Linked DNA regions of Arabidopsis thaliana. The protein of the gene in region 1 interacts with the protein of each later gene in a pairwise test. Each region holds a gene or a part of one and is shown in the gene's direction. Other genes may lie near its edges. The genes, in order: CPL3, TGA10 and AT4G23670.

Evidence for each region.
Region 2: the proteins of CPL3 (region 1) and TGA10 interact in a two-hybrid assay, tested with the Arabidopsis thaliana proteins (one large-scale study listed by BioGRID).
Region 3: the proteins of CPL3 (region 1) and AT4G23670 interact in a two-hybrid assay, tested with the Arabidopsis thaliana proteins (one large-scale study listed by BioGRID).

What each region holds. Positions count from the first base shown.
Region 1 is NC_003075.7:458,454-467,069, forward strand, and holds CPL3 (CAPRICE-like MYB3), read left to right. Parts: upstream 1-2,025; 5' UTR 2,026-2,080; coding exon 2,081-2,144; intron 2,145-2,242; coding exon 2,243-2,336; intron 2,337-2,438; coding exon 2,439-2,514; 3' UTR 2,515-2,621; downstream 2,622-8,616. Other genes in the region: GT72B1 (UDP-Glycosyltransferase superfamily protein), read right to left, coding at 3,405-4,847; TBL26 (TRICHOME BIREFRINGENCE-LIKE 26), read right to left, coding at 8,173-8,616. UniProt on the Arabidopsis thaliana protein: MYB-type transcription factor involved in epidermal cell fate specification. Acts as a negative regulator of trichome development, including endoreplication, by mediating lateral inhibition.
Region 2 is NC_003076.8:2,116,418-2,129,881, forward strand, and holds TGA10 (bZIP transcription factor family protein), read left to right. Parts: upstream 1-4,054; 5' UTR 4,055-4,493; coding exon 4,494-4,567; intron 4,568-4,651; coding exon 4,652-4,773; intron 4,774-5,144; coding exon 5,145-5,236; intron 5,237-5,442; coding exon 5,443-5,571; intron 5,572-5,695; coding exon 5,696-5,761; intron 5,762-5,869; coding exon 5,870-5,929; intron 5,930-6,016; coding exon 6,017-6,094; intron 6,095-6,185; coding exon 6,186-6,267; intron 6,268-6,357; coding exon of another isoform or gene 6,358-6,360; coding exon 6,361-6,632; intron 6,633-7,776; coding exon 7,777-8,031; intron 8,032-9,647; coding exon 9,648-9,800; 3' UTR 9,801-10,040; downstream 10,041-13,464. Other genes in the region: SRF2 (STRUBBELIG-receptor family 2), read left to right, coding at 64-246; AT5G06830 (uncharacterized protein), read right to left, coding at 465-596, 714-846, 928-1,136, 1,217-1,720, 1,815-1,964, 2,045-2,180, 2,272-2,366, 2,439-2,533 and 2 more; FTIP1 (C2 calcium/lipid-binding plant phosphoribosyltransferase family protein), read right to left, coding at 10,783-13,167. UniProt on the Arabidopsis thaliana protein: Together with TGA9, basic leucine-zipper transcription factor required for anther development, probably via the activation of SPL expression in anthers and via the regulation of genes with functions in early and middle tapetal development.
Region 3 is NC_003075.7:12,331,775-12,341,373, reverse strand, and holds AT4G23670 (Polyketide cyclase/dehydrase and lipid transport superfamily protein), read left to right. Parts: upstream 1-7,469; 5' UTR 7,470-7,717; coding exon 7,718-7,904; intron 7,905-8,259; coding exon 8,260-8,528; 3' UTR 8,529-8,945; downstream 8,946-9,599. Other genes in the region: DIR6 (Disease resistance-responsive (dirigent-like protein) family protein), read left to right, coding at 1,659-2,222; AT4G23680 (Polyketide cyclase/dehydrase and lipid transport superfamily protein), read left to right, coding at 3,957-4,143, 4,690-4,958.

The sequences.
Region 1 (8,616 bases):
ATTTCCAAATATCTTGTGATTACTGGATCTTGTGGGATAGATCTCTTTCTTTCTCTTATTCTGGATTCCCTATACATAACAAAAAGGTTAAATGGGGTAATGAAAAGTGTGACATATACTTAGCATAAACCAATGTGTAGAATAATCCATGTTTCCTTTATTAAGTGCTATGCGTTAATCGGCATCTATAAAGTGTTGCATTGATGAACAAAGTGGATGCCTAAACTAGACGTTTAACTAAATGTTTAGAATGAAATCTTCATCTCATCTAAAAAGTGTTGCATTGATGTAAAAAGTGGATGCCCATTAGTTCTTGGCTTTGAAATGTTTTTAGAATGAAATCTTCATCAATCTCCATATGTGGTTCAATCCACTCATTTTATCTTTTGTTAAAGATGTTCTTCAGGCCAATATAATGATGACCATGGATGGTTTGCAACTCGCATATAACACTTCTTTATCCGATGGTTACAAGTATTACATGGCTATAGATAGCTTTTGCATGCAACAAATTATCTATCAAAGTTTATGCATCCTCTAAAATATGGTCATTGGCAAGCCACTAAACGTATATATTGTGACAATGTATGATGATATATTTTTATGTGTTGACTCCGTTTTTCATTAAGTAATGAAACATGTTGCTCTAGATTACCATTTTAATCGCAAACATATATGTTGCTCTACCACGCATTGCATCAAATGATAAGCTTGAGGACGCTTCGACAAAAACATATTTCTCCTTCTTCTTACTGAACCAAATGACAATTGACAAACCCCATTAATAAAATCGGTTAGTGTTAATGTGTCACTCATAATATTAACTTAGTAAAGAACAAGACCACATTAATTAAATCAGGTGTTAGTCTGAGAATATACGTTTCTCTTCCTCATTCCAAACTTAAATTCGGAATTTACTGAGAATATATTGTTAGCACTGAAAAAGGTTAAGTTGAAAGTTTGCTAGGGATGGCAATTAAATATAGTCTTGCCTTGGGGATATTCCCTTCGTGGACTTGTAAGTTTATTTATAGGTCCTCTTATGTATATATAGATGATCTAACGATCGATATACTATGAAAAAAGTTGTTACTAGATTTTATTGCAGGTAATAGTGTTGAATAACCCGAACCAATAAAGCAGTTGTAACGAACACACGACACGTTGCTTACTGCGAGGACCACTTTGTTTTTTGTTTTTTTTGGCTTTAAGCCAATTTAGGACCAAATTTGCATGATTGAGGATGCAAGTATCCAACCCATTTTCATCTTTCGTAGTGACACTCATTTACTTTTGTGATGGACACGTTATAGTATATCTTAAATATTAAAGAGACATGATTGGGGGATCATTGTTTTAATTTAAATAATGTAGATTCTATTCTTTTCATGGTATTAATCCAATTTATAGAAAGTTATGTGTTATTAGCAATTAAGCTAAATGATGAAAACAATCAGTTTAGTGAAACAAACTCGCCGAGAAAACATGAATGGTTGAAAATATTATTGTGTTTTACAAACGTACACGAGGACAATAGTTTTGTAAGTTTTTCTTAGGCATTGAAAAATGTTTGATACAAAAAGTAATGTTAAAATAATTAAAAATGATTTTGTCTTAATATATCCAAAATTTCAATCTATTATGAACAAAGGGAGTATAATTTCTGATTGAATGAACTGGAATAGCAATCAGAAAAGCTTTGAAAACAATTGTTGTTGATTATTAATGATCTTAATTAACGGCATGTATCAATATTTATACAACTTATGTTCCAGTCCAAGCCATCACAACGGAGTAAATGAAGTCACGGGTACTTGTGGTTTTTATTGGTTGCAAACTTGCAACTTGCAAAGATAGCTAACAATAATTAATATAATTAATGAGAACAAAACCAATTTAGTAAATTAAAATCCTTTAACATAGAAACCGACCAAACCCGTTGGACCGTTGGTTACTTGATTTGGTTAGTTGCTATAAATAGAAATGATGGTTCGTGTGCAACCTTCAAAATACGACCACTCTCTCAGAGTACTCTCTTAGTTTCTTTCTTCTTCTTCTTTGTAATACGGTGCCGTTTGACATGGATAACCATCGCAGGACTAAGCAACCCAAGACCAACTCCATCGTTACTTCTTCTTCTGAAGGTAAGCTGAAAACTTAAACACCTTCGTTTTCTCATTTTTCCATGTTTTTTTATACTTATCTATATATAATGAGAAATCTGAATTTTGGTGATGACAAGGAACAGAAGTGAGTAGTCTTGAGTGGGAAGTTGTGAACATGAGTCAAGAAGAAGAAGATTTGGTCTCTCGAATGCATAAGCTTGTCGGTGACAGGTTTGATCTTTTAACTAATAATGAATACTATTTCGTAGGAAAATAATTTAATTGTAACACCATAGTAAAAGCTGAATTTTGTGTGTTATTATTTGATGAAAGGTGGGAACTGATAGCTGGGAGGATCCCAGGAAGAACCGCTGGAGAAATTGAGAGGTTTTGGGTCATGAAAAATTGAAAAGTGATCAATATATCTCTATAGTTTCACTGATTGTTTCGATTATATTCCGTTGTATTTTAAATTTACCAACTCTGTTATAAGAAGAAAACTTTCTTAAATCCCAAACCATTTAACTCTCAAGAACCATTTATTGTGTGGGCTACGAATATTTGGGCCTTCCAAGCCTAAATTTATTTTTTTGCCATCCTAGTAATTTCTAGAAGCTAAGTCGTAGATGTTGTACGTGGATATTTCATTAATTTCTGCTTAAAGCCTTAAACACTTGACACATGAAAGTGGCAAATAACCTACTTCAAAACAAAACAAAAGTGGAAGTCGTTTTACAAGTCATAAAATGACATGCTGTCTTCAGGTCCCACACATGTTTTCTGTATATTTGTCGTTAACGCTATTTCACCTACTCCACACACACACACTTATTTTCTTGGTCATCCACGTTTTAGACTTTTAGTTTTTCCTTAATCTCTGATCCATAACCACGAAACGGACGATCTTCAATAAAAACCCATAACGTATCTCATTACCAAACAAACATATTGTTGAAATCTATGTGTCTCACTGATGATCTATATATGTAACTCTTGAGATTGCAACAAATGTTTAGAACTTGAACAAACTGTTATTTTTATAAGCCATATATATATTTAACTATTGACGATAGACAATTGATGATTCTCTTGAACAATATTTAACTATATATGCAACATCTTCTTCTAAGCTGATCTTAATTGCAACATCTTCTACGAATTAATCAAAAGCCAAAAACATATACAAATAAAAGTTGAGACAAACGAAGCAAAGAAAAGTAGAACATACATATACATACAGAAACACATTTGCACAAATCCCACCGTTGATTATACAAATCATATTAGAACATCAAATATTTAGTGGTTGCCATTTTGCTCTAACTCTTTTTTGTGGGCTTTCCACTTTAAGGCCACAAGACTAAGTGCTTTTGTCGAAGTCCCATCATCCTTCAACACCCTACAAGCTGCTTCCTTCAACTCCTTCATCTTGTTCCTCACTCCTTTGCCTTCTTCACCTTCCATCAATCCTTTTACCACTCTAGCCACCTCTTCTCTTCTAACTAACCCATCGTCCCCGGCACGCGGCCTAAGTGCCGCACGAATATCTTCACTCAACAAAACCGCATTCATCTTCTGTTCTGCGTATAATGGCCATGCTATAAGTGGAATACCGCTTACTACACTCTCTAGAGTCGAATTCCATCCACAATGAGTTAAAAATCCTCCCGTGGATGGATGCGCCAAGACTTGGGCTTGTGGAGCCCAAAAAGGGATCACAAAACCTCTTTTTTTAGTCCGCTCTAAAAATCCCGGTGGTAAAAATGTCAATGGATCTGTTTGGCTATGTGAATCAAAATACGACGAATTAGCGATCCCACTAGGACTTCGTATGACCCAAAGAAACCGTTGCTCACTATCTGCAAGACCAAGAGCAAGCTCATTGAGCTGCTCACATGTGAGGGTACCGCCACTACCAAAGGACACATATAAAACCGAACCGAGCGGCTGGTTATCCAACCACTTTAAACATTCAGACTCTTCGGTTTGCTTAGCCTCTTGCTTACCAATGTTAACCAACGGTCCAACCGGATAAACCGGTGGTTTATCAAGACCCGGTTCTTGCAAGGCCTTTATAGCATTTGGCTCTAGCTCAAAGAAGGTATTCACAAGAATACCTTCGGCTTCTTTGTACCTCTTGGTGTTATGGAGAAGCCATTTGTATGCATCGTCTTTCCGGTCTTGGGCCGGGTCAAGGAAATCTTTCCCGGCAACCGGTACACATCCAGGAAGCATAAGCGGTTCGGTTAATTCCCTGAACTCACACGACACCGTTTCGTCTAGTTTAGGCAAATGGAGAAAAAACGACAAGACGTTGGCCGTTGTTGGGTAGAAAATATACGGTGGCACGTGAAATTCTACGGCCACGTCGAAAGCGTCCGTACCGAAGAGATCGACGACGAGCGCCGTTGGCAAACGACCTCCCTCCACGAACGAGTCGAAGACTTTCCGGAGCTCCGGGTTTGAACGAGTCACGGTGAGGGAGATCCGAGATTCGATGCGAGTGGACGAAGAGAGATCGGTGAGATCAACAGGAGGGAGAAAGACGGAGGAGATTGAAGAAGGGAGAGAGTCGAGGACGGTTCTCTGAGCTTTTGATGGTGGACCTTCGCCGGCGATGACGAAGGTAACGGTGAGGCCGTGAAGATGGACGAGTCGTTTAGCAAACTCGACGAGTGGTATGAGATGACCCATTCCCGGACTTGGTATGATCGCAACGTGAGGTGTTTTGGATTCCTCCATTGATGCAAATATTCAAGAACTGATACTTTGTTCTTTTTTCTTCTTTCTACTTTTGTAGTTTGTGATTATTATCTCCTTTTTTCTTTTTTTTTTTGTAATTTGTGTGGTATTAAGTAATGGCTTTATATAGAGAGTTTGTGTGAATCATTGAGAGGAGAAATTCTATTTTCTATTTACTTGTATGTGTTTTTTTTGTAGAATGTCGCTTGTGGCGACCATGTTCGAATATGAATATTTTGGTGACCGATTATTTAAACTAAAAAATCATCATTTACGTAATTCATTTTTATACTTATTATTTTGTGATTTCTCATGTTAATATGAAATCAACCATTTAAATTGTGGACATATTAATACATTTTGATTTTCATGTAGATTTAAAGTAAAGCATTTAACAAGCTGTGTAAAATATATTCATAACTTACATAAAATTGGGAATTATACATAATAATGCTATTATATAATATCCATAATTGAAACCAATATATATATATATATATGTTTATTAAATATGGTTGCCAAAAGAATATATATAAAATTTTCAATTATTGGAGAGGGGTAGGGAAATTGTTGAAAAAAATTAGTGATGACCAGCTTTTTTGTGATTGTGGGTCAATTATATTTGTGCGTGTGAAATGTCTTGAGCGCACGTGTGAATATGTGATGAAATGCAAACGTAATGCTTCCGCAATGATTTTTCTCCCCAATTTTCTTAGCTATAATAAAATAAAATTCTTTCGCTCTTTTTTTTTTTTTTTACCATTAACATTAAATTTTGGAATGGTAATTTGCTATTACATAAAAAATTCTATAAATTAATAATATTGGTACCATAAAATTTTATTAATTTATAGTGATATTAGTTTATCCTATAAATTAATAAATATTTATAAATTTTTTTACGTAAAATACAATATTAAATTCTTTTAAATATGTTTTTTAATTTAATTTTTCTTATATTTTGTTGTTCGTATATTCAATTATGTTAAAAATTATTTTTCTCTTGACTTTTTAATTTATTTTTTTACAAAATATTGTGTCCGTATATTTACGACGTTAACGTGAGGCTTAATCCAATTTTTTTTAACACAAATCTTAGCAATGATTAAAAAATGTTACAAAACCAAATATGACGGATCAAATACGTAAGGAGTTATGTGAGTACAAAAGAGATCATACCAACTGTACTCTAAAAAGAGTTGTAATTGTGGCTTGAATAAAAGTTTTAGATAAAATTAGTATTAGAATGTATGCTTAAGATTTATGATTATTAATTTATGATATTATTAGGATCATATTTTTACATAGGGATTTCAAAAAGATTATTATCTTATTATCTTATCGATTTTGGTTAATTTTTACATTGACCCGACTTGAGACCGACAAAATTTATTAATTTATCGTGTTTATTAATTTATCGAATATTAATTTATAGAGTTTCTACTGTATTATTTTCTTTCATAACAATGTTTTTCTTTTATTTGCAAAACATTTTGCTCTATACAAATTAAAAAATTGACTTCTTGAAATATTTTAGGTCATAGTGGCGACGATAAAAAGGCATATAATCATTCATCGATAGATTAGTTTTTAGCATTTGTTTGAGTGAAGAAAAGTGAAAGTGGAATTTATCTCATAGCCCATCATTTTTGTTATGATTTACAAAATTGAATATATGTCCATGTCCCGCTAAATCATAAAGCCTATTAACTCATTATTATATCTTTGTCAATTCGACTTGTGTTGCATCACCAATTTTTAATGAATAACATTGCCCAGCTAAACTTATTATCACATAAAGGATAGTGTGATAAGTGGTTGGAATTTAATAATTTTGTATGTATTTTTCAGCCAGTTTGAACAAGTATAAGGTAGCATTAAATCAAAGAAAAGCTGTCGCATCAATACAACTTTTAAACAGATATGTTATCATAATTTCATACAGAAATAAATAAATTATTTCCACGAGTAAATAGTTGCTATAGCTACCAAATGTCCAAAGAAATATATACAACCAATACTAAAAAACAAATTACACAATATTGTGAAATCAAATTATTTGTTTTCGATATCTGCCAAATTTGCTGAAGTTACCGAATGTTCATCGTATGGCATATGTCACCAGTGACGACTGTCAATGATTATTGGACGATCCGCACAAGCTACAAAAAACGGTATGACGACTATGTCTGGTAAAGTAGAATGGCACGGTGTTTTTAATTTATTCATTAGCCTCAAATGTTTTATTAATGTCACTGGTAAGAAGGGATCAGGACAATCAAATTATGGTGTAGGTGCCTTTTTACACATGTATGTTTAATCTTTCATGTTCACGGATCTCAGATTTTAGTTATCCTCGATGGGCTACTAGTGAATACTTTGCATATAAATTGATCTCTAACTTACATCTTTTCTGATTTCAAGTTCAGTGCTCACTTGTTGCAAGATGAGTTCTTCGTCCACTTTAGAAATATTATTGATGTCGTTGACTTGGATTACAAGAAAAGAGAGTATTACAAAAAAAATCAAAACAGAGAGACTACATGAACATTAAAGACATGAAACACTAAGCAACACGAGGCAAAGCCGACAACACTATATAATATATATGAACATAAACAAACAGTCATCAATAAAAAGACAAAAGATCAATGTAAACATCCCAATTAACAAGACGAAACTCAACTACAACTGACCTAAGAACAAACGCTCTCATGATGATGATCACAAAAACCATAGGTTTTAATTCATAGGTTTTAAAAAAATGTTTTTCTTTCATTCAAAATGCGCATTTATCTCTATTTTTATAATGATCAACATAATTTTAGTTTGTCGTCCACCTTCCAAGTACATATCGGCTGATCCAAATGTTTGTAGCTGCTCTTGTCGCATGCTTTTATTCTTGACATAGTTTATTCAGCATACTATTACAGTCACTGCTTGCTTCTTGTTATCGATATGGTTGAATTTAGACTAGATTCATGTCCTCGTAGTGGTGCAAAGTTAACTTTCCAAGCCCAAGTCGTTTTTTCAGTTTGTGATCCCTACTTGGTCTCTCCAGTCACATAACAGGTGTAACAAGCTACTGATTAAAGAAAATGCAGAGCATACATTACAAGTTTGTTTTTACATCACAAGTCCTAGTAAGATCATTATTAGCTTTCCACAGAACAACACCTTAAACAAAATTCACACTGCAAAATTTTGCATCGTTTATTCTTGTTTAGAACCATTACAAAATTAAAATATAGAACTATCATATACGAGACATTGACAAGTGGAATGGCTATTGACTGTAACTAGCTACAAGCGATATCGTGGTACATTAACCGGTTAAATCGTATAGTTCCCGTTCCCGGTTAAGCGTGGTTTCCACCATCACATCATTCCATGAATCAATTGGACCAGGTAAGCACCAATGCAGACAATCATTCTGAACATTGCTCTTATTCTTAACTCCAGCAAAAGGATTTGGATGCCGGTATGGTCCCGGATGCCCGTCTGGACGGAGAAGAGACATTCCAGTCGTGTCTAATAGCCTGATGTTGGAACCTAAGCCAAAACCTTTCCCAAATTTCTGAAACACCTCAAGCTCAACATCACGCATCACATCATCTACAGTTTTCATATTTGCTTGGCCTTCTTTAAACGGCATCGTTCTGTTGCAATACCCACCAGTGTTCCACTCTCCGTTTTCGAAATGGTCAGGCGTTGTTGTTCGAAACAGAACCAGCGGTTTGTGGGTTGAGTTTAGGACGAAGTCACGGAG
Region 2 (13,464 bases), on another chromosome or scaffold:
TATTGTCATTAGAGTTTCTTCACTCAGGATCATTACATTAACTAACCATTCTTTCATAAGCAGGCAGAGAAGGAGTTCAGACCACCGGTTTCAGAAATAGTGGAAGCCCTCACTGCGCTGATACAGAAACAGAACAAGGAAGCAAGCAGTAGTGTAGCAGACAAGACCGACCCTTTTAGTAAATCTTTCTGCTCAACACGCACACGCTTCATCTCCTCACCTACCTTCAGCTACCTCTCCTCTTGAACATTTTCTGTATCTCTACTTCATGCACATATACTTTACTGTGAAAAGAATAGTTCTTAGCATATGATGATATACACGTATTAGTCTTGGTAAAAAGGAAGTTTCTTGGTATATAATAGAAATACAAAAGAGTTTGAAACAAGGCAAAATCCTAAAGCAAGAAACAGGGTCACTTGGTGTACTGAAACTAAGTTTTCTAGCAAATCCCAAAGATCAAACTAAGCAGAAACCCCAGCGTTCAACAATGTATTGATCTCTCCTCTTATATTCACAGGTCTTCCATCAAACATGGAAGAGAGACTTGTCTCACATAGCTCCTTGAGTTCTCTTGTTTTCGAAAGTGCAGCTTCCTGTATTCAATACCAAAATCAATAAACAGAATTTGTTAGATAATAGCCCCTTCCAATTCCAAATTTCTGATAATCCACAGTTTAGCCAAAACAAGCTTTTTAAGAACATGAGGTTACCTGTTTTGGCCATATAGCAGAAAGTGAATTCTGCAGCTCCATGCGTCTTCTACCCACATCTTTCAAGCTCTCTCTTAACTTCACTTCACGGTGCTTCTTCTCCTCCAGCTCTGAAACAAGCCTATCTAGGAATCTGTTCGACAAACAAATACATATATCAGAAGCTGTGGTACTCACTGTGATCCCCTGGCAGAGATTCTTTATCCTAACGCACCTTTTGGAGTTGAGGATCATGATCAGATCCCGAGATTTCTTGTTTGTTAGCAATGAAATGGCCATGGAGATGTCAACCACCATTGGCTCTATGGTTTCAGGAGAATACTGCTGAAGAACCATGGGGGAGACTGCTTGCACGTGGTGTTGCAAGGACAGCGTATCTTCATTTCTCAGTTCTATCAAACGCTGGTTCAAAAATGCCTTGACCTGACACAAGAGAAACGACATCAACTCAAGAAGCATATCCAGGATTAAACTGAGAATTAGATAGTTAGTGATAAGAGTACCTCATACAAATCATCAAGGATCTTATTCCTATATTCTGTCTCCAACAGCTGGCTCCTCTCTCCTCCACTCCCTAAGACTTGAGTTGTAGAATCTGTCAACTGTGTCTGGTTTGATTCTAGCAAAGCTGAATCACCTATTTCTTCTACCTGAGGTGTTTCAACACTTACATCCCAAGAAATCTCAGAAACATCAACCTCAAGGCCTTGGCTTTCTTCCACTTTAAATGGAGAATTCTCAGGAATATCGCTGGCATTGACAATTTCATATGAACCTAGATCATTTCCACTATCAACTTCTTCTACCATACTAACATCCCAATCTATCTCAGGAGTCTCAACCGTAATATCCCAATCAATGCTGTCTGCAGCCGCATCTGTACCATTTGCATTCTCAGATGACTGAATATTATCAGCATCGAGACCTTCAGAGTCCCCAAAAACGCTTAATGATGGAGGGTTTTCACGAATGTATTTCAGGTTTTGTAAGACAATCCTCAAAGGCTTCTGCAGACAGATCAGAAGCCGGTCAATTCAATCTCCAGGAAACAAGGACCAAAATTTTAAAGAGAAAGAGATTGAAGTTAAACAGTGATCTTACATCTTTCTCAGTATGAACATCTTGAACATAGGCAGAGTAGTACTCCATTGCCCCTGTTACTGAGTCACTGTTGATAACTTCCAGAATCTTGCTAAAGGTACTAGGAAGCGAACTCGCAGTCTCCAAAAGCTCACGCCTCACATTGTTTCCCTGATATCTTAAATGTTTAAACTTTATATGATCCTTTTAAAAAACATATAGATGAAAATCAACCAAGTTTACAAGTAAACCTGCAATCCAAGCTCTCGGCAAGCATCCTCGTATTTTGTTGCTGAGAGTGCAACGCTCCTTTTGATATCAGCTTCTTTACGATCAAGTTCTGTCATTTGTTGCTGAACCTTTTGCACTTGCTTTTTCAGATAAGGGCTTCATGTTTTGCAAAAAGAAAACATATTAGGGAGATCAGAAATGCCAAAGTAGAGAGACTATAGGTAAAATCAAGTAGAAGCCAACTTACATTTCGTAATTAACATTCTGAATTATTATCTGAGCTGCCTCCCCAAGATAAATGTGATCTTTTTCAAACGCACGAACAATTGCTTCCCAAACACCCTAAAAGAGCATTATACAGCTGAGACAATGAACACAAACAAAAGTGCGAAACAGAGAGACAGTTTTCCTTACAGAAGCACCCGAAAGTCGACCAAAGATGTTGCGGCTTTCCGGAGTTGTCTTCAGGAGAATCTCATACACCTTTTTGACCTCCAAGTAACCGATCACTGGAAGCAAAACAACATTAAACTTGAATGAGAATACAACCAAGTAAGGCCCTCCTCCTAATCAATCATCAGACATAACCAAACAACAAACAAGCTTACGGTGTTCACAAAGATGCCAATAAAATCTCTTTGGCATTTTCAAACAAAATACTAACACTTTAAGTTATAAATGAGAGCAGTGAACCAAAACGCAATTTAAGACGAATTCGTTTTGAAGGTTTGAAAATTCGCCAAACTGATAAAAGAACAAAATTTGAAGAATTTAAAACCTTCAGGATCTAGGGTTTGAAAGAATGGATCGATCTCTTTAGGCAAAGAAGAGAACTCTTTTAAGATTTTGACTCTGATCACAGCAACCCTCTTCCTCCAATCCGCCGGAATTCTCTTCCGATCCACCAACCATTCTTCAAATTCAACAAAATTGAAATCAAATGAAGACAATAATCACCAACGCAGATTCGAATCCAACGAAGAAAACGAAAAAAAAAAACCAAAGAGATATAAAAATTTAAAATTCCGTGTACTCGTAATTGATAGTTCTGCATTACCTCCGAGACGAGAGAAGGTGATATCGATTGGAAGATTTTGAACATCATCTTGTGACGGCATTTTCTTCCGGTTAACCTTTCACGCTTTCTGGGAAATTTTATCTCCGAAGTCTCACACAGTTTAACGTTTTGGAGTCTCAAGAGTTTGCTACAGAAGAACGCATAATTTCATTGGTCTCATCAAATATCTCGAATCCGGTTATTGAACTAACCGAACCAATTTACTCCGGTCCGCGGCAGATTAAATTGTTTATTGGTTTTATATGGGTTGGTTGGATGGTCCATTACCGCGGTTAACATAAACTGGTCTATCTAGTAACGTCGGTTTTACCTTTACGGATTAGTCTACAGATTTTAAACTTTTTTTTCTTTACAAGTTAAAACTATTTTGAGGAAATTATTTGTATGAATATTTTGTGAATGATGGGAAAGAAATCAAAATTAGTTTACCAGCTCAATTTGATCAAACCAATTAGCTTAACAAAAACAAAACCTAGACCATATTAGTGCCCATTCAAACAAAGTACAATGGAACAGTTAGAGATACAAACAAAATTCAATCAATATATTTGACAATCTAAGTTCATAAATCACATAATAATGACTTTTAACTTGTTTCATATAATGTCTAGTGTTTATAGATTGAATGTAAGAGCGGTTAATGGATCATTAAAAATCGAATAAAAAATCTTATAATAATAATATAGATGATGGAATTGAAAAGTATATCTTAAAGTAAAAATCTAATAGCTGAATAATATATATAGGAGAAATATAATAATAATAATTTAGAGAACAAACAAAAAATATTTATACAAGTTTGTTATCAGCAATGTGACTAGAGAGAAGGAAGAAGAAGAGAGAGGGGATGGAAAAGGACATGTTCTTGACCGCTTTATCAGAATATTTTTCTTGGTTTCATACAAAAATAAAAACAAAGTCGTCTTCTAATATTTTAAGGTAGAAGAAACTTATACAACAAAAATATCAGAAAATAAAAAGGAGTTTGTCTTTAGGTTCTTCTCTCCAATCTCTATTTTTCTCTCCAATATCCTTCTTAAGTTTTTGAACCCTCTCCACTTCAATATAACCGACCTCTCTTCTCTCTTCTGAAAAAAACACCAAAGGAGCTTTAAATGCTCCGTTACATAATCTCTATCTCTTTCCAAGAATATAGAGAAAGGAAAATAATATACAAGAATTAAAAGAAGGTATATCATCATCTCTCTAGCTAGTGATCAAAGCACCGTCATCATCATCATATATCATCAGCTTGCCTCAGAGGAGAAGACCAACATAAGAGAGATCGAAGATCAAAATCTATCTCTCTTCATCATCTTCTGCTGTTACTATCATATCACACGCTCTCTCAAACATCATCCTATATATAGACTTCTCTTCATCATCATCAAATGCAAGGTCATCACCAGAATCATCATCAACACTTATCATCATCCTCCGCCACGTCTTCCCATGGAAACTTCATGTAATTTTTACTCACTTAATAACTTTTTGAATTGATTGATGATCCCCATGTTTTTAATAAGAGAGCTTTAATTTATGTGTGCAGGAACAAAGATGGGTATGATATTGGAGAGATAGACCCATCACTCTTCCTCTATCTTGATGGACAAGGACATCATGATCCTCCATCAACTGCTCCTTCTCCTTTACATCATCATCACACAACTCGTATGCACTCTCTCTCTCTCTCTTTTCTTTCTTTTTTGGGAATTGGGGTTTGTTTTTTTGGTTTCAGCAGATAAGGAAGATTCCCTTTAGGTGTGTGAGAGAGAGAGAGAGTCACAGCAAAAGCATGCCAAACAGATTTCAATCTTTCTTCTGCCATCAGTACTCTATTCTTTCAGCTTTGACCAGATCCTCTCTCTTTTCAGACACCAAATCTTTCAAATCCATATATCTTACACTTCTTTAAACCCTTTTCTCTCTCTGTCCTTTTTCTTCTAATTAGAAGAACTAGTCCGCTCACATATTTATATACATGACTTGTTATAACTAGACCATTTCTCATACATATGGTCACATGACTCATCTTATGGCAGAGAATTTGGCGATGAGACCTCCAACATCGACGCTCAACATCTTTCCATCTCAGCCTATGCACATAGAGCCACCTCCTTCTTCTACACACAATGTAATAATTATTACTATTACTTTATAAATTTCTATATATATATGCCAATTTTAGTTGGTTTCTGTTTCTAATTTAATATAATGTCAGCGCAACTACTAGCCATTTCATATAATATCAAGTCAGACCAATTATTATACGTTTCTTATTTTTCTATTGAGTAGTGATTTGATTGTTTTTTGGTTGTTTTATATAATGTGTTTGGTAAGACCGATAATACAAGATTAGTTCCGGCTGCTCAACCTAGTGGTTCCACTCGACCAGCTTCTGACCCGTCCATGGACTTGACCAATCATTCTCAGTTTCATCAACCTCCTCAAGGTTCTAAATCCATCAAGGTCTCTATCCATTTATGTTTTTTTAATCATTTAATTGCTTTGTCGAACTATAACTCGAGTATAGATATAGACTTGTTGTGGTTGTTTTTAGAAGTTAATGGGTCATATCTAAATGTTATGGCAGAAGGAAGGGAACCGCAAGGGTCTTGCCTCATCGGACCATGACATACCTAAATCGTCAGACCCTAAAGTGAGTGTATATTCATACAACTGCAGAAAATTAATAAGATTCTTTTTTTTTTTTTTTTTTTTACTTTTCGGTTTTTGATAGTTTCTTTATTAATTTAATTCTCAACAGACATTGAGAAGACTAGCACAAAACAGAGAAGCAGCAAGAAAAAGCAGATTACGTAAAAAGGTCAGCATTCAATATTTGTAAGTTGCAAATATAGTTTTTATATCCAAATTTATTTATAACGTTATTTGCTTTGGTAAATTACGACAGGCTTATGTTCAGCAACTCGAGTCATGTAGGATCAAACTGACCCAACTAGAACAAGAGATTCAACGGGCCAGATCCCAAGTAAATATTTGAACCTGTCTTTTCATATATATTGTATTTAACCTAAAGTCTAAAATGTACCAATTTAATTTGATTTCCTATATATGTTTAGGGCGTATTCTTTGGAGGGTCTCTTATAGGAGGAGATCAACAGCAAGGTGGACTACCCATTGGCCCTGGCAACATCAGCTCTGGTACGTTAATAGTTTCATAAATGTGATGACTCAAAAACCGTAAAATTTGAAAACCGAGAGAATGAGATATTGAGTAAATGCAATGTGAAGCAGAAGCAGCGGTGTTCGATATGGAATATGCGAGGTGGCTGGAGGAGCAGCAGAGGCTATTAAACGAACTAAGGGTGGCAACACAAGAACACTTGTCCGAGAACGAGCTTAGGATGTTTGTGGACACATGTTTAGCTCATTATGACCATTTGATTAACCTCAAGGCTATGGTCGCTAAGACCGATGTCTTCCACCTCATTTCTGGAGCATGGAAAACTCCAGCTGAACGTTGCTTCTTGTGGATGGGTGGTTTCCGTCCATCGGAGATCATTAAGGTACATCTCGTCTTTTCTTATAGCCATATACATATATTTAGGTTTTTCGAGAGATATTTACTTATTCTATTCGAGCCACATCCCACACAATAATTAGTCATGATGATATTGTAAACTAATCAAATATGGATTAATAAATCTAAATTTTGGAATTTTACTTGAAGACTAATCATTTTAAATTTTATCTTAGAACCTAAAATATTCCAGGATACAATCATTAATACCATCAATTTTGTGGATTACTTGCAGAACATATACTAATAATGACTGAAATTGTGACATTGTTATTATTTATATCGTACATATATGTCCACAGAATATAGTACTTCCAACTTTATTTTATTATTTAGATTTTTTTTTTTAATTTAGTCTTTGATTCTCGTAAAAGAGGTACGATATAGTAATAATAGATAAGACAGACAAGAGATAGACTATATAGTGATATTGTTGGACGAGGTATATATATACATAACATTGCATGGGGTGACTCTAGATGTATAAAACCAACATATATACGTGAATGTCTTTATATTACGACAATAATAAAGGTACACGTAAAATTATTTTGAAAACAAATTAAGAATGCATGCAATTGTGTGTGATGGTGAAGTATCTCTAGAAATAGGTAGGTTTTGGCATAATGCAAAAGAAAGTGCCTGTCTGTTTTTTCGATTTATGGGATCCATAGGAGAGAGAGATAGACATAAACCACCATGGAATTCAACAGAGACGACCATAATAAACAAACCAAAAATAAATAATTGTTTAACATTTTTAGCACGCTCGTCAATTGGATGATTATCATTTTTTTTCTTTTCTAAAATGGTTACGTAAAGCCATTTTAATTAAACCTACTTTTTATTCTAAACAATATGAGTACCTACGATAGCCGATTAATAATACAAATTAATATATGGATGGTGTGCATATCTGACAAGACCTTTGGCAATGTCTCAATCTTATATCCTTTTTAGTGAAAATAAAAAGGAAAGAAGAGATTTTGGGTGTAGCTAGTAACTCGTGCAGAGTACATACACTACACACTTTAATGCATTCAACGTTCTTTATGCATCCATTAAGACCATTGTTAATTAATCCTCGATATCTCAACTTGTGTGTATTAATTAGAAACGCATGCATGCAGGTGATTGTGAACCAGATAGAACCATTGACGGAGCAACAGATAGTTGGGATATGTGGGCTGCAACAGTCCACACAAGAGGCCGAGGAGGCTCTCTCGCAAGGCCTCGAGGCGTTGAATCAATCACTTTCCGATAGCATTGTCTCTGACTCCCTCCCGCCTGCCTCCGCACCACTTCCTCCTCATCTATCCAATTTCATGTCACACATGTCCTTAGCTCTCAACAAGCTCTCTGCTCTCGAGGGCTTCGTTCTCCAGGTACCCTTATAACTCTTTCTTTTTAAGTTTATGTGCAATTATATATCAATATACCAATCTTTTATCTTTATATAAAAATATACCTATAGAGTTGATATACAAGTGGACCCCTAGAGGATATATGTGGTCCTAATCAGACTAGGAATACATATTCTGTTTCTTTGAACTACTCCTTATTAAACTCAACTATCATATACTTATATATTTCTATATTTGGCTGTTATAACACGCTATCTAAATTTATATAGATGTTTGTATATATGTGTGTGTCTGTTTTGTGTACAACTCATATATAGGTATAACGTCGGCCATAATTTGTTAGAGGACATTTGTAATATATTAAGTGTATATAGAATAAAAGTGGTTGATTTTAAAGAAGATGTCAAAACTAATTCGCAAACTTAATAATTATGCATTAACATGTATATGTATATGAAATGGAAAGTATTTGCCTCTTGATTCGGACATTATGCAAGTAGGTATCTAACAAACACTTCTCTTGTCTTATATCAACTTGGTCGGGTTGCTTTTCTTAGACGACCAAGTTTATTAATTTAATATTTATTTCTTAATCATTTACTAGTTTAGGACAGGCAAGTTTTTGAAACAAAGAAATATATATATCTGCTTGTGTATATTAATGTATAAGTCTATACTCTATATGCAAATGGACATTTCGGCTAATTAATTCTATACAAGATACATGCATATACAAGTTGGCATCTTTCAATGATTTCTTAATATAATTAGTTCTAAATTGTTCCTGTTCCGCCTATAAAAAAAGTTTTTGTGTTTCGCTACACGGTTAGTCGCTCACAATTTGGAGAAAGATCCAACTTTAAAATAGGTGGTAAATGTGGGGTTAGTTACTAAAAAGGGGTAATGAATTCAATTTTCTCTAAACGCACGTGACAATTGGCACCATGAAAGTATGTATTAAGTATACATATTCCAATATATGTAGTCCAAAAGAAAAATACATATATTATGTATCTATAATATATCACATCAAATAAAAACATGGAATGCTTGGAGCCCATATCGTTGCATGATGTCATGGACGTAACTGCCCAAGTATCCCATCCTCCGAAAACACTTCCTTGAGAATAATTCCTTTACTTACATTTGATTCTGCATTTTTTTGTCTACTTTTATATCATTGATAATAGGTTGATTATATATGTATGATTCTAATTAATGATCAAAAGTATCATGAAGCATGGCGTGGGACCGAGGGTATGGAATTCACGGTTTCACCTTTTTGACATGTTGGTGTCGTGTTCTTATTAGTGAATTACTAACAAGCTTTGATTTTTTGATCGATCAACATGTTGAATAATCGGCATTAGTCGTCAATCAACCACATAATTTCGGGTCATGCACAATCATTATAATGCTTAATTAGTCCTTTATCTGTTTTTTTCCTCTCTAGTTAGTCTTTAATACTTATATTTATGAGATTAATGATGGTCCAATTCGATTATTTGTCCTTAATTGGTCTTAGTCAATAACATGTGCACTACTTTGTCCATCTTTTGTTTTGCTTTTACTATTTCTCCATTTTCCCTATAACTCTTATTTAGTTTTGAACTAGCTAATACATTAGAAACTTACAGGCGGATAATTTGAGGCACCAAACGATCCATAGGCTGAACCAATTGTTGACGACCCGTCAAGAAGCACGGTGTCTTCTAGCCGTTGCGGAGTACTTCCACCGTCTTCAAGCTCTAAGTTCTCTCTGGCTAGCCCGTCCTCGGCAAGATGGATAATACTAAAACAACTGATGAAGGAAACCAAAAACAAAAACAAGAGAATAGGTTGATTAGTTAGCCGCCAGCTTGACCTCTTTATCATATATATCGTCTCTCTACTCAAATACAGTGCAATTAGGGAAAATTGTTTGGCTTCTTTTTGTTATATGATTCTTACTATTATGTTTTTAATCAAGATGCAGATTATATATATAGACAAGTATTCCATACCTTTTAATGAATTCTTCCTTATGCAAATTCAAGTGAAAAATTATACTTGATCTTCAATTCCAAACACAAGAACATGAGAGAGTATTGAAAGGAAACAAAAATAGAAGGCTGGCAACAATTGCAGTTGCATGCAAGACTTATCACTTGTTAGGTCAAATTAAAGCATTGACCAGTGAGGAAGGTGACAAATGGTGAGTTCTGTAGGATACCGTCAGGGACTTGGGATCAGTACCGTTTTGCTTTGGGTTCAACGCCCTTCTCTCTCTCCTTTACTTTTCATTTCTTTGCTGTCACCAGTTAATTTTTTTCAACTCTTCTATTTTTATTTCTTGACTGATAAAAGTGAACATTACAGTAGTACACATGCATGGTCAAATCAAAACAACAAAAATCTTTTTACATCACAAAAAACGAGATTGATTTAGCCGCAAATATTTGAAAAAAAATAGTTTCTAAGTACATACACTAGCAATCAGATTATACATGTGTTTATTCTTGGACTACAAATTCGTTTGGGCCGTAAATTTTTGGGCCCTAAAGTTTTCTATTGAATTTTATTTCTTTTTAAGAGAAGGAAAAAACGTACAAACAAAACATTATAACTAAAGCCCACTACTTTTGGGTTTTAGAGTAAACCCAACAACACAGTACATGATAAGAATAGAAGCAAACAGAACAAAATAATAAAACAGAGCAGATAAACACACGAACACAAGAAACACAAGTTACGAGCAGAGAAGACCTAAAAGCCACAAAGAAGTTTTACAATTCAAAGCATACAATCTGCTTTTGAAGGTAATTTCCTGAAGAAGTTACTTGGAGCAGAAGGCATCTTGCTTCTGAACTTAGGATGCCTCATCCAGAACATCCCACCCGCAAGAGCTATGATCTTGAAAGGCGTCACGTACAAAATCATCGCAGCAACAAGACAAAAAATCACAAACAAGCAAGTCGCACGCGGATCTCTCCAACTCAACAAAGCCTGAAACCTCTCTCCTTGCGTTGCAATGTCTCCAACAACCATCTGGATCCGACCCGCAACGCTTCTTAACCTATCATACCTCATCTTCACAACATCTTGTCCCTTTGAAGTTGGGAAAGTATCAAATTCCTCATCTAGCTCATCAGGGCTAGCCGCTTCAGCCCAAGATACCTTTGTGTCCATATGAGCAGGATGACGCGGCCTGAACCGGAAATTCCAAAGCCCTATCAAGAACATGTAGAGGAATGTGGTTGGGAGTATCAGCTCCGGATAACAAATCAATATAAAGAAGAGAACGTGGAATAATATCGTCGTCAACGGATTCTTCCAGTAGCAGACGTCTCCGAGCCATTTACTCATAGCAATCAAGCCTGCAAACACAGACACTATCCTGAAGAAGTTAGCTTTGCTCCTTCTCATGCTCCACATGTGTGAATCAACATCAAGCATGTACTCTACGTTCTCTTTCCTTAAAGGAGGCTCTGCTCGAGATAACCGTGCTGCGACAATGCTCATTGCTTGGTATCTTAGACTGTCTAATTGGTTCACAGTGAATGGATGGAGATAATGCATCTTTGGAAGCAGAGGATGGCCATAAAGATAGATCATGTGAGCCAAGGATAGACAAGTGAATCTCACAGCTAATTGGACTTCTCCCATTTTCTTTAACCCTTTTGTTTGCAGAACAAGAAGAGGGTAGGAGTGAGTGTAGATTCTATCAGCCTCTAGAGTCGACAACCGGATCCTTACCTTCCCGATTCTCGAATCCACTTTGGCTCCACTGTTCGATTTCTCACTTCCGCCAAGGTGACAGTTATCGAAAACTCCCAGTGTGATAACTGTACAAGGATCATACACTTCCCATGTGTATTGCTCATTCCATTTAGGGCTAGAGCTGTCAATGATGGTTCTTGTTCTCACCCATTTTTGACCGTACTTGGCAACACAATACGGATCTGTTGTCGCTTTACCGTCTTTTGTTTTCATAGGCGATAGCCCTTGAGCACTCAAGATTCCTACTTCAAGGATGCCAATAGGAGACTTCCATAGTTGCCTTGCCGTAGGTTTCACGTCACTGATGTACAGAGTTGACTCGTCCATTACATGGTAACCTCCTTCAAGGCAAACTCGTAGGTGGATTCGGCTGGAGAACTTGAGCTCGTGTCTCTTGTCTCCTTCCAGAGCCCCAAACCCAAACTTTTCGAGGTTGTACCATTTGGAATGAACAGCTCTGTGATCTAACCTTTTCTCAAATACGCTCAAAGGTGAGATCAGCCTCCCCATGACTTCATCTTTAGCTGGTGTCACCTTGTTTTCGACCGTCAAGAAGAACTGTTCTTCAAATGGCTCTGCAGCTACAAAAACAAGATCTTCGTTCCACATCGGATTCGTCGTCTTGTTAGGACATAACTTTGTTTTCAGAATCTGATTCCCAACTTGTACTTTAACGAAAGCTTGAGGTGGTTGGCTCCTGTCACTAGGCTCAACATCTTGCGCCTCGATGACATTAACCCGCAGATACCACAATTTGGGAGATACATAGACTTTAGACCTCACGCTTTGGACACCTTCTCCTTGAACAGAGGAAGCATCCGAATGCCAAGCATCAGGAAATGCTTCATCGGCTTGCGTCCCAAGCCAAACCGCTACCATAACCTCTCCTCTTTTCTTACTCTCACCTCGCCGATCTTCTAATCTGTACCACTGAGGTGCAAGTGGACTATCAGGAGGAACTCTTGTAGGAACCTCACGCATATCAAACACAACCTTCCCGATGTATTCATCTCTTGTAACCATCTCCTTATCGCGCACAAAGACTTCAACAGTAGAGGATTGGACCTTGTCTTTTGAAAATGCGAAAACTTGATTCCACTCCGGGTTGGTTCTTTTCTCGAAGTGTTTAGTCTTTCCTTTGTAGTTTCCTATTTTCACTTCCACATAAGGATCACAGTTGCTGGTGACAGGGTTTGGAGGAAGATCCTTGGCTTTGACGACCCGAACATAGAGATAAAACATTTGCTCAACAAGGTCATATGTGCTTGCAGCTCGTTCACTGCCAATCCATCCGGTTCCTCCACGCTGTCCTCCATGTGGCCATCTCTCTCCAAGCTCTGGTTTCATGTCTTTAAGCTTATAGTCTTCTTGGCTCTTAGCTCCATCTTTGGCTGCCATGGTTTTAGATTACTTGAACCAAAAGATTCTCCTGTTTCTTTCAAAACGTTTCAATTCTGTTCCTGACATACAAAAAAACAGAATCTGAGAATTGCAGGAAAAAATGATTAGACAAAACCTGTTTCTTGGATGTAAAGAAACTAATGTATCTCATCAGAACTGATTTAAAACCTTTATAATTAGTATTTAGTAATTTACTTTCAATCTCAACCAAGATAATTGAAAGGATTCTTACCTGATTTAAACAATATATACTAAGTGGTCGACGCAAATATAAGCTTTGTCTCTTGGTTCTGT
Region 3 (9,599 bases), about 12 Mb from region 1:
TAACATTCTCACGAAACTAAATTATATTTATACTTTTTTGATAATAATGTGAATTATAATTATCTTTAGAAAAATATAGAAACAATCTATTTTTTTTAACTCTCTTCAAAGTCTTAGAAACATGAGCATGCACGACACCCAGTGAAACCAAAACTCTTCGGCCACGTTTCATGACATAGTGGTGTGGTTTGATTTTCAACTCTGTCTAACTTCTCCATTTTCAAAGGACTTTACAGAGCTTTAGTTCAGATTTTTAGTATCTTTGGGGTTCATGGTTTCAAAGCAGTTTTTCTCTTTTCTTTTTCTAATTTTCAAGATAGTTAGATCGTTGTGAAGTTTGTAAATAACATAATTGGTTTAGAAGCTGTTTACTTTTCACATGGGTCTGCTCTGAAATCAAAGGAACAAAAGGGTAGTTACTAGTTAGGCAACTAAACCCATTTGAACTCTTTTTTTCTTCTTTTTAATCAAATCCTCTTGTTTGACTTTTCGACGTTTATGCTTTTACTCATGTATTAGGAAGGAGTTAGTGACAAATATTATTGACTTATACGGCTTTTAAAATATATATGAGAAAAATTGGACGATTTTTTTTCTTTTGTTTGATTGAAAAAGAGTCGTATTGAAAGAAAATTAGGACGCTTTCTTAAATGATTTTTTCTCAATTGATTATAAAGTTTCGCCGATAATGTTTTTTTATATGTTAGTCTTACACTGAAAGTAAAGCGGCAGAGGGGAATAATTGTTCTAGTACACGAGCATGCCCTTGTATAATTATAACATCTATATACATAAAATACATTATCAATATTAACTTTATATAAACATCTTCATGAATCGTGATCATGTCCTCCTGACGAGATCTACCGTAGTTGAAGTTTCAAAATTTGGCTTTCTATGTAAAATTCGTATCATATCAATTCAACATCTTTATTCCCACATTGTTTCATCAATTGTCCATCTTGTTTAAATCTGGAGTTGATTTTTCAATATCCGTTAGTCCGAATAATTACGAATAAATAGAACGTGATTTCAAGAAAATCGTTGATTAGTAGCAATCTTAGAAGCAAAGCTAGAACGTGATTTGGTGATTTGTTTTACAAGTTACCTAATTTTAGCCATATGGACCGCACATGAATGATGGGCGGTCTCAAAGCAATATTTCCAAAATGGTCTTTTAATAATTGGTCTTTTTTTCCATTTCTGCGTAACACTTTCGTTTGACGTTTTGTTTAAATTTATTTTTCAGATAATTAGTATACACTTGCTGTTACATTAGCTAGCTAGCCTTCGACTTTATGCTTTTAGGTTGGACTCACCATACCGTTTAATAATAGTTTCAAATCATTATATATATATATATATATATCTTTTTCCTGTCAAAAAATATTAAATCTATCAAGAAAGTGAAATTAGGTTGTAGCTTAGTTACCACCAACCCCGCTTCCGCATGGTCGTTAAACCTTATGATCTTTCTAATTTATATCTTAAATATAAATCGGCAAAACATCAACAACCCATTAGATATGTCCCTCAAACTTTGAAAACGATTATCCAAATAAATTATTTATTAAAACAAGTGAATAATACTTCTATATAAATGGGTTTAAGCCTCCTTCATTAAACACATCTCACAACTCACTAATCTCTAGCTAACCATGGCATTTCTAGTAGAGAAACAACTCTTCAAAGCCCTCTTCTCATTCTTCTTATTAGTTTTACTCTTCTCCGATACCGTCTTATCTTTCCGAAAAACAATCGACCAGAAAAAACCCTGCAAACACTTCTCGTTCTATTTCCATGACATCCTCTACGATGGCGACAATGTAGCAAACGCAACCTCCGCCGCCATCGTGAGCCCTCCAGGACTAGGAAACTTCAAGTTCGGTAAGTTTGTGATCTTTGATGGGCCCATAACAATGGACAAGAACTATCTCTCAAAACCCGTGGCTCGCGCACAAGGCTTCTATTTCTATGACATGAAGATGGACTTCAATTCGTGGTTTTCCTACACGTTGGTGTTTAACTCAACGGAACACAAAGGGACATTGAACATAATGGGTGCTGATTTGATGATGGAGCCAACAAGAGATCTATCGGTCGTTGGTGGGACAGGTGACTTCTTCATGGCTCGTGGGATCGCTACCTTCGTGACTGATTTATTTCAAGGGGCTAAGTATTTCCGAGTTAAGATGGATATTAAGCTCTATGAATGTTACTAAGTAGCTAAGAATGTGTGTTTTGTTTGAAAATTTTATGTTGACACAGAGAAATGTGTTTACAATAATTAAGTTTTTTTTTTGCCTTTTCTTTTGCTGTTGTCTTTTTGTTTATCTATAATTATTATGTGATTTATTTCAAGGGGATAAGTATTTCCGAGTTAAGATGGATATTAAGCTCTATGAATGTTACTAACTAGCGAATAATATTTGTTTTGTTTGAAAATTGGTATGTACACAGAGATAATGTGTTACTAATAAGTAGTGTTTTTTTTTGTGGCCTTTTTATTTGGTGTTGTCTTTTTGTTTATCAATAGTCAATTATTTCTGTCAAAGAAATATATTTTTGGGATGTCTCTTCTTCATTAGATAAGAAGATATATATGTTTCTTCTTCATTAGATCCCAAGTACTTGCAATCCCATTTTATCAGGCCGATCTAAGCTGGACCAAGTAGAATAATATATAGGTCCATTAATGATCCATCTTGCCGAAAGTGGTTGCTAACTTTTTTTCAACTGGTCAGTGGAATTGTGTATAATCCGTTATTTTTTTTGTCTTTCTCTATTTGGGGTATGGGCTATGAATTTAAGGGAATTCGTAATCTCTATATGAATTTTGAAGGGGTTCTCTTGATTTTATGGATTCATAGTATAATGGCCCAACGGCAAGGGCAGATATAGTGTGGGGATATCAACGCTTTGAACAGAAATGGTATGGTTTCAAGATAAGTGAAAGCTTAAGTATCAGATAAACATTGATTAGCTTTCGCATATAGTAAACAAATACAATGTCAAAGTTTGTACTTATGATAAAGACCAAACCATTTTGTTACTAATGTATATTCCGAGAAAATATAACAAATTAGGAGATTCTTAATTAAAATATATATGGTAAATTAAAACATGTTAACTCGATGTTAATATATGATTCGATTGTTCATAAAGCTCTCATTCGGTGTCGTAACTTGATTGTATTCATCTTATAAGATGCAATTATGTCAACAATGATCGATGAATGGTCCATACTCGATATACCAATATTAAAATATAAAGGAAATCAATACCAAACTATATAATAACTACGGACTATACTCTAGACACAAAATTGTCATTTTCCAATCCCAATAACATAATTAAAATAAATCTCAAAGATAGTATGGGCAATAGATTTCCACCCTTTTACATTATTTTAGGTCTCGAAAATTGTTATGGTTTGACAGACCAAATCATAAACGTAGTTCGGCCAATCATTTCAAACCAAATCCGAACTACTAAATGCATCACCATGCTATGAAATGGATCTCATTCTATTTATATAATTTTTAAAAAAAATTCAAAGTCTCGTATGAAATCAAAAATGGTAAACAATCATAGAAAATTTCTTCCATTTCTTGGTAAAAATATATTTTTATGTCATAATTATCTTCTAAAGGATGTTGTGGCAACTACCCACATTAATAACGTGGTGGTCGAAAATCAGCCTACCAATTAAAGTACACATTTTTATGACGAGTTGATGACCCATCAGTGCCCATTAAATAATACGTACGTTAAAAAAGATGAAGAAAAGAAGATTCTAGCATGCACTATCAAATGATAAAAAGAAACGGTAAAAACTATGTTTTTAACTGTCAGATTCACTATATAAACCACGGCGACGACAAGTGGTATCTCATCAACCAAAACAAAACATAAAAAACAAGTGGAAGCTTTAAAACGAGAGGGAGAGAGCAAAAATGGCGACGTCGGGAACGTACGTGACGGAAGTTCCGCTAAAAGGATCGGCCGAGAAATACTACAAGAGGTGGAAGAACGAGAACCATGTCTTCCCTGATGCTATCGGCCACCACATCCAAAATGTTACCGTTCACGAAGGCGAACATGACTCTCACGGGTCTATCAGGAGTTGGAACTACACATGGGGTATACAATTACTTATACTTTCTCTATATATATCAACATATTATTTAACACTATATATATCTATACACAATATTATGGTGTATGTGTGAAACTAGGGTTTTCGTAGTATATAGCCAAATATGAATTATGATGGTTAATTAAATAGTTGCACCATATTGTCAGAAGTAGGCGCAAGAATACATCTAAAACTATTCATAATATATAGGTCTTGACTATTTCAATTTTCATATATGTTTTACATAAGAAAACGAGGGTCAGATATTCTATTAGTAAAGTTTTTTCATTTTTAGGAAGATCTTTGAAAATGGTAAACGTAAACACTGGAACACATGATTGTGTTTGCGTACATTAAACACGAAAAAACGCAAAAATTAGCAAACAATCGAGTTCATTAGTTAATATACAATCTAGATTGGTTGGTCTAGTTTTGTTTTCTATGGCATGATTGGTTTGGTCTTGGTCTAGTTACAGTCTTAAAGAACGTATTATTGTGAATATATCTCTCCTAAGGTTTAGATTTGAACCAATGAACATGTGTGTGTAAAGATGGAAAGGAGGAGGTGTTCAAGGAGAGAAGAGAGATAGACGATGAGACCAAAACGTTGACGTTAAGAGGACTTGAGGGTCACGTGATGGAGCAGCTCAAAGTGTACGACGTCGTCTACCAATTCATTCCCAAATCTGAGGATACCTGCATCGGCAAAATCACTTTAATATGGGAGAAGCGCAACGATGATTCCCCAGAACCAAGCGGGTACATGAAATTCGTCAAGAGCTTGGTTGCTGACATGGGAAACCACGTTAGCAAAACTTAATCATCATTCCCACAGTCGTCGTCGTCATCATCATCATCATCATCATCACTATCTCGATTTATAAGTTATGATGTTTTCAGTATAATAAATGGGGTCTTGTGGATCGTTAATTTCTATGTGTAAACCGTTTGGTTCTGTATGATGCTTCGATATATTGTTATGTTCATGATCATATGTCGGGTTCGATATAATGATTCTTAAGATTAATTTACTACACATTTCAGATTTTCAGTGTTTATCTATAATTTATGACTTTTCATATACGGATTACTAAACATCTAATGGTGTTAGTTAACGATCTAGTATAGGTGGACTAGGCAAAATTCTGAATAACAGTTAAGTAAATAACACGAGTACGTATATTATGGTCATACTCACGTACAGGGCGGCCATGAGGGAAGCCGGGAGAAACAAATGTATGTGGACTCCAAAATTTTCCAAAAGAGAATTATTTCAAATAGATCTCCGAAAAAGATATTTTTATGAAAAAGACCCCCAAAATTTAAAAGTGTTTATGATAACTTTAAAAAAATATTTTACTATTTTGGCCTTAATTTTCTAGGAACCAGTCATACTCATGTATATACTAAATTTTAACCCGCGATTCACTGCAGAATAATTTATTATTAAAGTTAGTTTCTATAAAAGTTTGTAAATTATATATATTTATAAAATATTTATATTTATAGTTTTTAATTTTTATTAAGTAATGTATATCAGAATTCCACGAAACAATTGTTAATATACTTAGGATTTAACATGTATTAAAACGGTATGTTAATATTATTTTAAAATTTTATAAATATTGATTCAAATCCATTTGACACATAATCTTGTTCCAAAATAAGACCTATCCCGTAATTTTTTAATTTTTCCCGCAATTTGTTTTTCACCTCAATTGAACTGTTATGCCCCTAATCTTGATGACGAATTGTCTACACAATTTCATTGTGATAGAATTCTGATATTACAAATTGCCGAAAGACCCTAAATAATCTATCGATTTAATAAGTTTTCCATTTTTCTCTCAAAATAAAGGCCTTCGTATTGAAAAAAAATGACAAGTGCATCGTTTATGCAAAATATTTGCTTGTTTTTTTCTAATAATATATTCTGATATTTAAAATTCCTAAACATGGAGGAAACGAACCATAAGAAACGGCATCTATAAATATTTATATATTTATTTATACATGTTTATGAAACATAAAATTTTACAAAATTCACTAAAAATTGTAAAACATAGAACTACAAAGTTTTCACTACATAACAAATTAAGTACCCCGCTTGATCTAGTATAATTGTATAAATTATGTTGTAAATGTGCCTGATTGTAAAATTTTGAGTTGACGACCATAAACGTGGTACCACCAGAGAGATCACCCAAAATCGGACTTTGCAGTTTCATCATTATAAAATTGTAACGTATATATGCGTTCAATGATTGATGTTACAGGATCCCTGGACCATGCAGATGAGTTTATTTGTTTTACGGAAAATGCAACTACTCTGATGCATTCGAGATCTATTATTGCTTGCTTCTTACCGAATTCAAATACTTGACCCCACTAATCCGATAAGGCTAATTAATATGTGTCTCACCCTCATGAGTTATTGCCGATCCTAACAAATTTGGAATCCTGAAAAGAAAAATAAAAGAGTGTTTCTTTCAACTAGTAATAAAGCTTATTTTAAAAGACGTTAACTTTATCCTTCTAAATAGAGTCTTAGAAGTATAAGAGAGCATGATTAATGTCCCATATAAGCATTATCAACGGCTGGTTCCGAGTCTGAAGACAAACTATGAGCTTAGAATTAGAACTTCCTGAGTTATAAAAATTATTTTTCTTTTTTTTTGCATGTTTTAAATTGTTTTTTTGTAGTGTAAAAACAGTAGTTTTTTCCCAGAAGATAAGTAAATTAGGGTTTGTTTATCTGCTTCCAATTCTATGGCTAATTAATTTGGATACTAATTAAAGCGTTAACAGAGAGGACGTATGTATTTCTTAATTAGACTCCAAGTTTTTCTTGGCCCATTTGGATCAAAAGACCAATTGTATGGGCCCATAAATGACCTATTCTGATTACTAGAGATTGAGTAAACGGCTCCACTTTTTTTTTATGAGCCTGTCTCATGATCTCTCATTCTCTCTTCAAATCTCTATCCCATATATGTATGTTTATTAGTTTGAATTTCATTTAAAATCTAATTTTAAAGTTTAAAATGTTAGTAAAATTATTTGGTGATTGATTATAGTGTTAGTCAAATTATTTTATAATTTAAAATGCCATCCAGTAAAATTTTGAAAGTAAAAAAATGTGATTTTCCATATATATTATTATATACCAACATTATTTGTCCTCGCGATCATTATGTATGGGGCATTATTATACCGTATTTTTCCTCGCGATTAATATGTATGGGGCATGAATCATGAACCGTGATTATCTTCTAAAGGATGCTGTGCCAACTACCCACGTAAATAACGTGGTCCAACATTAAATATAACAATTTAATTGAAAGCTCTTCAACAAAAAAGTTAAAAAACAACACACATCTATCATTAAATAGTGTTTGAGTTAAAAAAGAAACAGAGAAGATTTTAGGTATGCACTATCAAATGATTTAAAGAAACGGTAGAAACCTTGTTTTTAACCGTCACGGTCCCTATATAAACCTATGAGCTAGCGACGACAAGTATTCAGTATAATCAATCAGAAAACAAGTAGAAACTTTAAAACGAGAGAGAGAGAAAGAAATGGCGACATCGGGAACGTACGTGACGGAGGTTCCGTTGAAAGGATCGGCGGAGAAACACTACAAGAGCTGGAAGAGCGAGAACCATGTCTTCGCTGACGCCATTGGCCACCACATCCAAAATGTCGTTGTTCACGAAGGCGAACATGACTCTCACGGGTCTATCAGGAGTTGGGACTACACATATGGTATACATTTAGTCATTTACTTATACTTTCTCTCTATATATTTATCACTTTTACGGCCTATGTGCGTCCGAAACTATGGTTTTGGTGGTCTACTGCCAAATATGAAATACTACATATGATCATTAATTAAGGAATTTGTTCTATAAGACCAAAAACATATATAATAATCATATTTTGCATTTATGTTTACATATGAAAACGAAAGTCATATGTTTAAAAGTAAAAAGTATTTTCATATTTGAGAATAATTTTGAAAAATATAAACGGAAAAACATGATAGTCAGATATTAATCCTTATGGTATAACTAGCTAGTGGGATGTTGGAAATTGTAACTAATAAACACATGTGTGTAAGATGGAAAGAAGGAGATGTTCAAAGAGAAGAGAGAGATAGATGATGAGAATAAAACATTGACGAAAAGAGGACTGGATGGTCACGTGATGGAGCATCTCAAAGTATTTGATATCATCTACGAATTTATTCCCAAATCTGAGGATAGCTGCGTCTGCAAAATCACTATGATATGGGAGAAGCGCAACGATGACTTTCCCGAACCAAGCGGCTACATGAAATTCGTCAAGCAAATGGTTGTTGACATTGAAGGCCACGTCAACAAAGCTTAACCACAACCATCACCGTCATCACTATCTCGATCGATATTGTATTATTATGGTGTCTTTTCGATAATCAATATAATAAAGGGGGTCTTGTGGAGTTTCTATTCTCTGTAACTGTTTGGTTTTGGAATATGCTGTGATATGTTGTTATGCTCATCATATATCGGTTTCGATATAATGAGTATTAAATAAAGTACGTTCAGTTATCTACATATTTCATTGTTTTTTTCTTCATATATGTAGATCATAGTAAACATCTAGTGGTATAATACTATAATTAGTCGGTGTGGTATATGCAAATTTCTAGATAGCAATTAAGTAAATAACAAGAGTACGTATATTACTTTGGTCACACTCACATATTATACATCTCATTTTCACCTTAATTGGACTGTTATGCGCTTAACCTTGCATTGATGAAGAAGTCTACCTACAGAAATTGTTTTTGTTATTTTTTTTTATACTTAAGAAATATATCATTGTTGTAGAAAATAAAATAAAAAATATCATTGTTATAGAACTTGTTTTTAAAAATTGCAGAAAAACCTTTAAGAAATAAGTCTATATATTTACTTGATAATTTTATTATTTTTACTAAAATGTTAATATCATTTTTTTTGTTTTCATCTTCTGATTCTTAATTAAGATCTCTAAATATTTCGATGAAAGGAGAATAACCATCACAACGATCGAAATCTATTAGTAGTCTTTATATGTAGTTTATAAATAGTTATATATGATCGGCAACTGACTCCATATGCACATATCATCACGCCACGCCCATGCAGATTCTTTAATTTCTCCGACATTGATTGTTGCTTCTTACCGAATTAAAAAAACCTTACCCCACTAATCTGATAAGGCTAATATGTGTCTGACGCTCATGAGTAATGGCCCGATCCTATCAAATTTGGGTCCCGAAAAGATAAATAAAAGTGTTTCTTCAACTACTAAGGTAGAAATAAAAACAGTGAGAAATAAGTAAGGTAGGGGTTGATTAGTTTATCTGATTCGAATTATATGGCCAATTAATTTGGAGCCTAAATGCATACTGTACGTGTTTCTTCATTATCCCCC